3 linked regions of the Callithrix jacchus genome follow. The main gene of each other region encodes a partner of the protein of the gene in region 3 in a complex. Links are inferred from orthologs where the notes say so. Each region holds a gene or a part of one and is shown on either strand. Other genes may lie near its edges. The genes, in order: WASHC3, WASHC4 and WASHC5.

What was found.
Region 1: WASHC5 (region 3) and WASHC3 share a complex: the UniProt entries of both Homo sapiens proteins name them as parts of the WASH core complex. The link is inferred for Callithrix jacchus from reciprocal best matches to the Homo sapiens genes WASHC5 and WASHC3.
Region 2: WASHC5 (region 3) and WASHC4 share a complex: the UniProt entries of both Homo sapiens proteins name them as parts of the WASH core complex. The link is inferred for Callithrix jacchus from reciprocal best matches to the Homo sapiens genes WASHC5 and WASHC4.

What each region holds. Positions count from the first base shown.
Region 1 is NC_133510.1:105,101,510-105,105,590, reverse strand, and holds the start of WASHC3 (WASH complex subunit 3), read left to right. Parts: upstream 1-1,257; 5' UTR 1,258-1,337; coding exon 1,338-1,388; intron 1,389-1,944; coding exon 1,945-2,043; intron 2,044-4,081. UniProt on the Homo sapiens protein: Acts as a component of the WASH core complex that functions as a nucleation-promoting factor (NPF) at the surface of endosomes, where it recruits and activates the Arp2/3 complex to induce actin polymerization, playing a key role in the fission of tubules that serve as transport intermediates during endosome sorting.
Region 2 is NC_133510.1:108,059,966-108,063,618, reverse strand, and holds part of WASHC4 (WASH complex subunit 4), read right to left. Parts: intron 2,991-3,653; coding exon 2,937-2,990; intron 2,847-2,936; coding exon 2,781-2,846; intron 2,016-2,780; coding exon 1,970-2,015; intron 1,530-1,969; coding exon 1,462-1,529; intron 489-1,461; exon of another isoform or gene 319-488; intron 1-318. UniProt on the Homo sapiens protein: Acts as a component of the WASH core complex that functions as a nucleation-promoting factor (NPF) at the surface of endosomes, where it recruits and activates the Arp2/3 complex to induce actin polymerization, playing a key role in the fission of tubules that serve as transport intermediates during endosome sorting.
Region 3 is NC_133517.1:72,328,037-72,331,689, reverse strand, and holds part of WASHC5 (WASH complex subunit 5), read right to left. Parts: intron 323-3,653; coding exon 219-322; intron 1-218. UniProt on the Homo sapiens protein: Acts as a component of the WASH core complex that functions as a nucleation-promoting factor (NPF) at the surface of endosomes, where it recruits and activates the Arp2/3 complex to induce actin polymerization, playing a key role in the fission of tubules that serve as transport intermediates during endosome sorting.

The sequences.
Region 1 (4,081 bases), on a different chromosome or scaffold from region 3:
TGCAACTCAGTAACATCACTTAAGCCTCTGATTGGTTGTTTCCCACAACCAATCAGATGTTTGCATAGGAATGTGACTGGTGTAACTTCAGTGTCTGATTGGTTGTTTTTCACAACCAATCAGACTGATTGTGGGTCACCACTTCATTTACATGAGGAGAACAACAAGTGGACAACGGGAAACCTCTAGCGGATATTTAAACAGAAGATTCTGTATCCAGACCCTTGAGCTCCCACCTGCTCCCACACTGTGCAGTGTACTTTTGTTTTCAATAAATCTCTGCTTTTTTGGTTCATTCTTTCCTTGCTTGGTGCGTTTTGTCCAATTCTTTGTTCAAAGCATCAAGAACCTGGATACCCACCACCAGTAACACTCCCACCTCATTTCCTACCATTCTCCATTTATGGGATCATTTGCTTCAACCAAACCAAGAGCGCCAGGTGCTGGTGGCTCATTAGAGTCACCAAATAATAATCCCACTGCTTAGGGATCGTTTGAGTCAAGGAATTTGAGGCTACCGTGAACTATGATCCTCACGGCACTCCAGCCTGGGCAACAGAGCAAGACTCCACCTCCCTGCATCTTTAAAACAAAACTGCCCACTTCGGTCCATGTCTTCATCTTTTTGATGCTCATCTTTTAAAAACCTTTGGAAGACTAGGTTTGGTGGTTTACACCTGTAATCCTAGCGCTCTGGGAGGCTGAGGCAGGAGAATCGCTTGAGGCCAGGAGTTTGAGACCAGCCTGGGTAAATAGCGAGAACTAGTGTATACACACACACAAACACACACACAGACACACACACACACACACAAACACACTTTAGAAGTACGTCTTATATCTCGTTCTTCAGAGCATAAACCTTGCCAGTGCAGCAATCGAACTCAATCTTTGTTTTCCCAGCAAGGCCTAGCTAGCAGAGTATATGGCACTTAGGATTTTTTTAAAAATTGTTGCTCAAGGAATGACGGAGCTGTTATATAACAGAACTAAGTAGGGATAACCTCAAAAGGACCCGCAATTTCTGGCTTTTTTGTTTATTTGTTTTTACCCGCCTCTAAGATTTTACTGCTATAACTGCATCCTTGCACCATCACGCACCACCCCGAAATTAACGTCACCATCTGGACTTAAACTACCAATCCCAGAATGCCTAGCGAGGAGGCGGGCTCTCCGGAAGCCCCGAGTGATTGGTGGGCGGCGGCGTTTTCTTCCGCCGGGAAGGGCCCCGGAGGCGGGGATTTGTGGGGGACAGTTGAGACACGATTACCAGGTTGGGCGGTCACCATCTGGGCGGGGTTTGTGGGTGAACTCTGGGTCCCCCGCCCGCTGAGGAGATGGATGAGGATGGGCTTCCTCTCATGGGGTCAGGCATAGACCTGACCAAGGTTTGTAAAAGACGGTGCTAAACTTCCGGCCACCCGGGAGGAGGTTGGGGAAGACGCCGCTTCCCGGGGAGACCCCACCTTCCCGGGCCCCACCCTGTCCCGACCCCAGGCCCTTCTGCCGGCCTCAGGAGGGAGAGCCCCACCGTCTACCTTGAAATAGGGTCCCTCCTGAGCTGATTAAGGAGAAGGTGTGCATCTCCCAACTTTCGCTTCCGGTGTCGGGGGTCTCTAGGTGCCACCGGCGACACAAGCCGGTTGTGATCGCTAGCCCTACCTCTTATTCAGCCCCAAGTTTTTATGTGTGTTTATGTGTGTGGCTTTTGCCTGCTAAAATTCATACTAGTGACGCTAGAGCCTGGTCTCAAACTTTAGTGCATTCTCTGTCATCTTCGGACACCCCACCTACGGTTTAGGACAACAAGTTAATGACTATTCACAGTCTTTCAAGAAATTCATCTCACACAGCAAAGTGCCTCGTGATTATGTCCAGATATTAAAAGGTTTGCACAGTGTACGTTCCTCCTGTATGAATCATGTTTGTTTTTACGTAACACAGGTGCCAGCTATTCAACAGAAAAGAACAGTGGCTTTTCTAAACCAATTTGTGGTGCACACTGTACAGTTCCTCAACCGCTTTTCTACAGTTTGTGAGGAGGTAGGTCCTGTGATACTGGTTTATAGAGTCGCCTAGAAATCACGTTGCACTGCTGAGATTGACAAATGGAGTAAAACAAGAATTACAGTCTTTATTCGTGTACCATGATCTCTTGTCACCAATTGTGTTAACACACCTTAAGTCCTCTTTTCTCTGATTTCTTGCACCCCCTCCTCTAGTGAATTAGTGTTCTAGAAGTCCTCATGAGATAGTTCAGTCAGGCTTATTGCAATTAAAGAGAACAAAAGGAAATCTAAAATTTCTTTCTTTTTTTTTTTTTTTGAGACGGAGTCTCACTCTATCGCCCAGGCTAGAGTGCAGTGGCGCGATCTCGGCTCACTGCAACCTCCACCTCCCGAGTTCAAGCAATTCTCCTGCCTCAGCCTCCCAAGTAGCAGTATTACAAGCATGCACCACCTCTCCTGGTTAATTTTTTGTATTTAGTAGAAACGGGGTTTCACCATGTTGGCTGGGCTGGTTTCGAACTCCTGATCTCAGGTGATCCACCCGCCTCGGCCTCTCAAAGTGCTGGGATTACGGGTGTGAGCGACCGCGCCCAGCCTCTAAAATTTCACAGTTGAAAATAGTTTTTATTTTGAAATTCCTTCTCCTACCCCAGAAATGCATTGTTTTTATTAAAATTATTTTACATTCTAATCTAAAAGATGGCTAGAGGATATAGCCTAGGACTTTGGCATCAAATATGATTATAGAAATAAAAATATTTTCTGTGAATGACTTGTGATGTAAGGATTAAGTACCCAACTAGGGATCAGGTACCAGAACTGGCACAGCAGTGTGCACCTGTAATCCCAGCTGTTCAGGAGGCAGAGGCAGGAGGATCACTTGCACCCGAGAGTTTGAGACCACCCAGGAGTTTGCGTGAATAGTTTTACAAATGAATGTTTCTGTGGGAGAATGAGTGCTGGGAAGTCCTATTCCCCCATCTTGCTGTTGTCCCACCTTTTTCTCCTTTATGTATGATAATCTAAGGTTGACTGTAACTCATTTTCTACAATATATATTTAGGCAATTTGGACATTCGTGTCAGCTGGAGACTGCTCAATGACATGACAACTAATATTTATTGTGTACTTACTCTGTGCCGGACATCATACTAAGTGCTTTATGTGTATTTAATTATCAGAGTCAGCCCTTTGAGAGAGGATTGGTTATCCTACTCGTGCAGATACAGAAACTAAAATGCAGAGAAGTTTAAATCATTTGCTTGGTCATTCATTTATTCAACATATCTTTGTGTGCCCCCAGTAGTTAGTTGTAGCTGCATTCACTACACATACACAGAACGTAGCAGAACTGGATTCCAACTGATTTTTTAACTGGAAAAGTCTGTATCTCATTACTTTCTTACATTGCACTGCCTTATCTGAATAAGAAGCATGTTTATGTAATTTTCGAGTGAGAGAGTACAGTACCAGTACCTTCTTATAGATATATTAAAATCTGTTTTTAGATTCATATTCACTTCTTTGCTGTGCCATGTCTGTTTGATGTAATATTTTTTATGTAAATTCCAAGGATATGTGTATTCAAATGTGAGGTGCCATTTTCTCCCAAGTTAAAGTCACTTCAGTGTTTTGAAATGTTTTTTGTTAATGGCCTCTAGTCCTTGTTTATTTAAAGCCTTAAACAAGAACCAAACTGACTGTTTCTCTCAACAAAAGAGGAATCTCAATTGTTAGTTTTTAAACTGAAAGTGAACTGGGAGGAAAAAGGAAACTTTTTCCACCCGCCACAGGATCTGGTCTGAACCAAACCCAAACTTAAGCAACTTTAGTCACAGATAAACTCTCAAGCCAGAATTAAGTTTGAAACAAATTGCTAGGCTTCTTTCCTCATCAGTGACACTGTTTTTAGAGTTCTTCACTAAAGAGAAGAGTATAAACTGCATTCTGTGAAGAACTCAACTTTTCAAACACTTTCTGCCTATTAGGCTACTTTTATAACTCTTCCATTGATTGGCACCAGAGTAGAAGAGAGATTAGATGACAGAGAAAGTAGTAGAATCAGACCCAAG
Region 2 (3,653 bases), on a different chromosome or scaffold from region 3:
CTGGCAATCCCAATCTTTTTCCTTTTAGTTCCCTGGATGTTTAGTTCTGTTTCCTTTGGACTACGTCAGTATTTTCTTTGTCCTCCAACTCCTGGGTAACCAATTCTCTATACTGAATCCCCTCTCTTATTTAAATAAATGTTATTGTGTATATTTAAGGTATACAACATGTTATGGGACACATACTGATAATAAAAAGGTTACTAGTGAAGCACATGAACAAATCCATCATCTCACATAGCTAAATCATTTTTTTGTGGCAAAAGCAGTTAAAATCTACTCACTCAGCATGAATCCCATATATGGTAGCTTTATTACCTGTAATCCTCATGTTGTACATTAGATCTCTAGACTTAGTCATCTTACATATTTGCTATTTTGTATCCTCCAAGCTACATCTTTTGAAATACCTTGTATGGAGTTTTCTAGACAGGACCCTGAATAACACAGATCATAATATCAACAAAATGCTCTCAATTAGATCAAATAGACCAAAAAAAAAAAGTAGTAAAGATATAAAAGATTTGAACAGTACATGTTAACATGCCTGATTTGATGAAATACAAATTTTGTAACCAATCAGACTAGAGGTGGGACTATGAGTATTTTTTCCTTAGCTTCAATTTTTGCTTTTTTTTCACATTGTACATGCATTATTATTTTTTTTAAAGACGGAGTGTCGCTCTTGTTACCCAGGCTGGAGTGCAATGGCGCGATCTCGGCTCACCGCAACCTCCGCTTCCTGGGTTCAGGCAATTCTCCTGCCTCAGCCTCCTAAGTAGCTGGGATTACAGGCACGCGCCACCGTGCCCAGCTAATTTTTTGTATTTTTAATAGAGACGGGGTTTCACCATGTTGACCAGGATGGTCTCGATCTCTTGACCTCGTGATCCACACACCTCGGCCTCCCAAAGTGCTGGGATTACAGGCTTGAGCCACCGTGCCCGGCCCATGCATTATTTTTAAAATAAAGAGAGGAGGAAATAGAAGCTATTTTATTCGTTTGATCAAGAGTAAGCCAAAGGACGTACAATCACTAAAACTTGGCAGTGACGAAAAGCTGTCTAAACTGAAACAAGCTGTTAGAAGCATCGAGGGCTACCACTTTAAAAACTTCATCATTGCTCATGTAACAGCTTAATCTTCTCCATTAACAAGTTTTCTTGATGTAATTTATCTTTTCCAGTGGGTACAAAGTTTAAATTATTTTGAAAGGCATGGGGACAAGTTGTCCATAAAGGAAAATATACAAAGAAACCTATTTTGATAGTCTTTTTCCACTAGAAATATGTGGAAATCTTTTAGGAGTTGCGATCTCCCCAACTATAATGCAACGCTAATTAAGTGTCTTATCCTCAAAGTACACATCTTTAGTATTTGAAAGGTTCAGAACTTTTTAAGTGTTGTGTAATTTACTTAAACTTCAATGTAAAAGCTCAGTAGAAAGTAAAAATCAGTTACCTGTAAGAATGAAATAAATCGCCCCATTTGAATTTGACAATCACCTTCCACCATGCTGGCATCCGTAGCTGTAAAAGGCAATATGAATAAGTGTATTTCATTTTTTAAATTTAAACTCAATCAACACCAAAAAAGGAGAAAAAAGTGATTTTTTTTTCCATTGACACATCTTTTACTCCACAGAATATTGAAAACAGAATTTTTACACCAAAGAGAAAAATGAGGCAATCACTAATCAAATAATTAAAAGTATTTGCTTAACTAATGAATTCAAGGAAAATTATCATCTAGCTATGGTACTTTATAACATACAAATATATCACAAATTTTCTGCTGTTCCATCAGATTTTTTTACCCATTTACCAAACAAACATACCAACAAAAAATACAAATGTTTATTTTCTCACACTAATATATAATCATAGTAGTCCTGAAATTGTCTGTTAATTTTTTTTTCATTTCATTATCAAAAAAGGCATCACATTACAATTTTGAATTTTAAACTTACCTCCTTCTCCATAAAACAAGAGACCATTGTAAAATTTAGTTTCAGCCTGTTTTTAAGAAAAAATTAAAATAATTTTAAAGGTTGTTTTGTTTTGAAATTCCTATGCTCTCTTAGATCTGCATATTTAGTAATAAACAGAGGACTACATCATTTACATACAAATTCATTTAAATTCAAAAACTGCTTATGAAGCAATTCATCTTTAGAGTAACAAAAATATTACTGATACTCAAAGCTGTATCTTGATTCCTTTAGCCTTTACTTCATCTTACCTGACCACTCTCACTGTCCAACATCCTCTCATTAGTTCATGGGAAATACAGAGCAACCGCACAGCATCAAAAAGCAAGAGAATAAAATATGAAGTTTGCCAACTTCTACCAGAGTTTCATTGGTTCTTGGGTAAGGAAACACCAAACTAAATGCATACTAAAGACTGAAAGCTTTAAAAAAAAATCAGTTTTCTCTACATAGCCAGTATATATGGCAGGTAACACAGACTATGGAGGTTTGTAAACCTAGATTCAAACTGTTAATTACCAGTAAGATGTTAGGCAAGTGGCACTCTCTTTAAGCCTGTCATCATCAATGTCTCACCTACCTCCTGGGGTTACTAAAGGAATATAGTGTTATCCTGGTGTTTTGCACATACTATGTACTTAATGAATGGTAGTCAGTATTAGTATTATATTAAATAAATAATTCATTCAACATTCAATAAATATTTATTGCACACTGTATATATAAAAATATATACTTGCTTCTAAATTATCTGTTTTTAAAGTTTTAAGACAAGAATTCAAATAATTACCTCATATTTTAATTTCTTGATTTCACAACAAAGTGCAGCATAAACAGTGATGACTTTGTTTAAGACCTAGTTTCATGAGTAAAAACAAAATAAAAAGTAAATTGTAACATAACTAAAACCTTTTTCAAATACATTTTTAGATTTAGGATTCTGTACCTTGTTTTCAGTCTTTATGAGTTCCAAAAGAGAAGACTGTTCATAAGGCAAAAGCTATAGAAACAAAAGAAAAGAACATTTCTTTTTAATTTGAAAAATAACCGAAATTTTAAATACACAAATTGAAATTAGCTTTATTCTACTTAAACCTGTTTAGATCCTGTACTCAACATTAGCACCATAACAACTACTTCATCCAACACAATCTCATTAGACGACACATAAGGAAAGAAATGACCCAGTATGACTCAATCATGTTGCTACAACTCTAGTTGTCCTACAGAGCATAAGGTGGCTGATTATGAGTGCAGTATAAGAAAATGCAAGGTAGTAAGATAATACTAACATTACTAAACTCCATTAGTTATGATCATGAGGAAAAACCACTCATCATTTTTAAATTTTTTTTTTCTTTTGAGACCAAGTCTCACTCTGTCACCCAGCCTGGAGTGCAGTGGCGCAATCTTGGCTCACTGCAACCTCCGCCTCCCAGGTTTTAAGCAATTCTCCACCTCGGCCTCCTGAGTAGCTGGGATTACAGGCATGTGCCACCACACCTGGCTAATTTTTGTATTTTTAGTAGAGACAAGGTATCACCATCTTGGCCAGACTGATATTGAACTCCTGACCTCCTGTTCCACCTGCCTCAGCCTCCCAAAGTGATGGAATTACAGGCGTGAGCCACCGTGCCCAGCCCATTTTTTAATTTTCTATACA
Region 3 (3,653 bases):
AAAAACAAATCCATTAGAGAAAGTGAGTGAGATACAGAGATACACGGAGGGGACAATAATGAGGAAAGAGGCTCCGGAAGACAGATTTGATTATCCATTGGCAAGGAAGCCTATAAATTCAGACCTCTCACCTAAAAGTAACTTAAAAGAGTAAGAAATGTGCTTAGATGATGAACAATCCAAGCCCACAGATGGCTGTTTCAAACCCTGGCACTTACTTATTGAGATTCTCCAGAGCAGCTGCCAGATGTTTAGAGTCAAACCGACAAGAATAATTTAATTCATTGGCAATCTGTTGTCTCAGAATCTGCATCTGCCCAACCTGTGCACAAGCAAGAGAAAGAATAGGTAGAATATTCAAGCATTTCAGAGTGACTGAGGAGGTAAACACAAAGATGGCAATTCTTCTCTGGGCCTTCACAACACTCTACAGGAAAAAAAATAAGGATTTCCTGGACTAATCTCTTGGCTAAGACTAGTACTGGACCTGATGGAGCACCAGAGGCCCTTCAAGGAATGTCTGGATGGACTCCCATACCCCAACCTATGGGAGTCATACCCCGAAAGTCTATGATTAACAAAGTGATCTATTAATGTTCAGTTGTTCATGTATCAAAGGTGTCTTTTTTGAAGCTGTATTTTTGACTTTTGGAATAAGTGCTCCGGGTTTAGTAGCTGCTGTGAGAAACCTTACTTCCTTTTATTTACCCTAAATGGAACTTTTTCAAGTCCTAAGAATGCCACTAGACCTTAGTATTCTCAAATTGGGTGAATATTAAGTCTGTCCATGCCACTCAGGATTATAGGTTATATAATTACCTGGATTACAAAATAATCTACATAAAATCTTTCATGAAAATTTTAACAATGATAGCCCCTTAATCCAGGAGTTCTTACATTTTATATCTGATATGGTTTGGCTATGTCCCCACCCAAATCTCATCTTGAATTGTAGTTCCCATAATCCCTATGTGTTGTGGGAGGGACCCAGTGGGAGGTAATTGAATCATGGGGGCAGTTACCTCCATACTGTTCTCATGATAGTGAGTTCTCATAAGATCTGATGGTTTTATAAGGGGCTTTTCTCCTATTGCTCATACTTCTCTTTCCTGCTGCCATGTGAAGAAGGACATATTTGCTTCCCCTTCCACGATGGCTGTAAGTTTCCTGAGGCCTCCGGAGCCATGCTGAACTGTGAGTCAATTAAACCTCTTTCCTTAATAAGTTACTCAGTCTTGAGTATGTCTTTATTATGTGACAATTGACTAATATAGCCTTGGGCCCCTTTGGGAATCTGGTGAAGCCTATGGATACCATTTCAGAATAATGCTTTTGAATGTACAAAATAAAGCATAGAGGGTAACAGTGGAAGCCAATTGTAATAAAATATAATTAACCATTCAAAAAACAAATCTGTGATATAGAATTATGCTAATATGGTGGATTAACTATGGTAATTTAAAAGTAGCTATGAGCATAAATGATATCTGGAGATTATCTACAATGGTTGGATGATAGGAAGCAATCTTTGGGTCAGGCTTGAGAGAGTTCAGTTTGACCTCATAATGTTGTCTACATCATAAGGTCAATAGCATACTCTAACTTTTTCTGCCTATAAATGTCTTATTTTCTACACTAGACAAGGTATTCCTAAAAGACTGGCAAAGGGGAGTGAGGGAGTAGGGGCAAGGGGGGAAGCCAATATTACCATGCAAGCACAATAAGGTGGAAATCAACAATTTCCTCTGAGTTGCTGGGGGCAGAGAAGAGTTAAGGAAAAGACAGTGGCTAAGGCCTGTAATCCCAGCACTTTGGGAAGCTAGGCAGGCTGATCACCTGAGGCCAGGAGTTCGAGACAAAGCCTGACCTAAATGGTGAAACCCCTTCTCTACTAAAATTATAAAAATTAGCTGGGTGCGGTGGTGGGTGCCTATAATCCCAGGTACTCGGGATTGTTTGAACCCAGGAGGTAGAGGTTCCAGTGAGCCAAGATTGTGCCACTGCACTCCAGCCTGGGTCACAGAGCAAGACTGTTTCAAAAAAAGAAAAAGAGAGTGGCCTTCTCTAAGAGTGAACAAAAGTTATTTAGCTGAATGGAGCTTGTAATGGTCAAAAGTGTTAAATGACCTCAGATGTATTATTTTTCAACACTATTCATATATTTTATTCTACTTATATGAAAAAAGTCAATCCAAAAATGCTATTTATAAATAAGAAGTCTTTAAATTTATAGAGTAGCATTATTTAAAAATCAGAATGCAGCAAAGCCAAGAAAATAGTAGGTTCTTTCAGGCCATGTAAAAATGACCCAGAAACCCTGTATCTAGCCCATATCATTCTTTGCTTAATTTTCTATGTCTAGTATACTCTATGTCAGGGATCCTCTTGAAAATATCAATCTAGAACTGGAAATAGAAATAAAGTCAGTTTAATATAACTTCCTCTCATTTAACTCACAATCAGTCTTTGTGAGTGACATTTTCCATTTTTGATACTCACAAACTTCAAGCTTTAATAAGCTGCTGGAGAGGCTAAGGAGCCTGGGATGGACGAGAAACTTATTTTACCCACTCACTTGCCTCTTTGAAGATATCTGGCTTACCATACTTTCTCCAAGACTTTTTTAGAGTTGCACTGTTGAGTATAGCAGCTACTAGTCACATGTGGCTATTTACATCTAATTAATATGAAATAAAATTTAAAATTATGTTTCCCAGTCCCACAACCCACATTTCACAAGCTCAACAGCTAGACAGGGCTGGGAACTGCTGTCATCATCAAATAGCACAGAACATTTCCACTGTCGTTTCTGATCATTAACACTGGCTCAGTGACTGCAAGCACCCTAATTCAAGACAAAAATACAAATTTGTCCTTGGGGCCTTTATTTAAAGATCACTGACTCAGACACAGTCACGTGGCCGATACTAATACTGGCAACTATAACTAATTAGGGTCTGTAACAGCTACTGGACTGAGAGAACCCTCTGGTGGACAAGGGAAAAACCTTCCAGTTTCTTGGAAGAATCCCTGTAATTCCCCCAATGTCTCCTACAGAGTTGGGACTCACAACTGTCCAAACATAAGTGATTTTTTATTCCTCCTAAAAGGTTTTCCAGCAATTAGAAACTTGGCCTGGGATGTGACAATCATGAGGCGAGGGGAAGGCAGACTCACATCACCAGAGGACATCGAGCAGAGCCACGGCTCCTTGCCTTACCCGTTCTGTTTAGTGATCCAAACAACAGCAACAACAGCTACAACTACTCACCAAAATTATGGGAAACATACTGTGAATGTGGCTGAGGTATCAACGAGTGCTGTCTCAATGAAACTTACATAACTGGGAATCAGAGAATGGAACTTTTCAAAATTCCCTTAGCATTCCAAAATTCTAGACTTTTCTACAGTATGTGATACTTTTAACTGCAAATCAGTTTTCCACCTGGAAGTCTACTCTTTTCTACTAGATTGTGAGTTGCTTTCTGAGGAGAGCAGTTGTGTTTCATTTAACTCTGTCTCTCACAACAACTGACAATGCCCTGGGTTTAAGGGATGTGTGAGAATGGGCTGCTGATGATCTCAGATTATCAGATGTTAAGAGAAGACTCACAGAAGATGCAGGAGTCCCTGGGAGCTCCTGCCACTGAGTA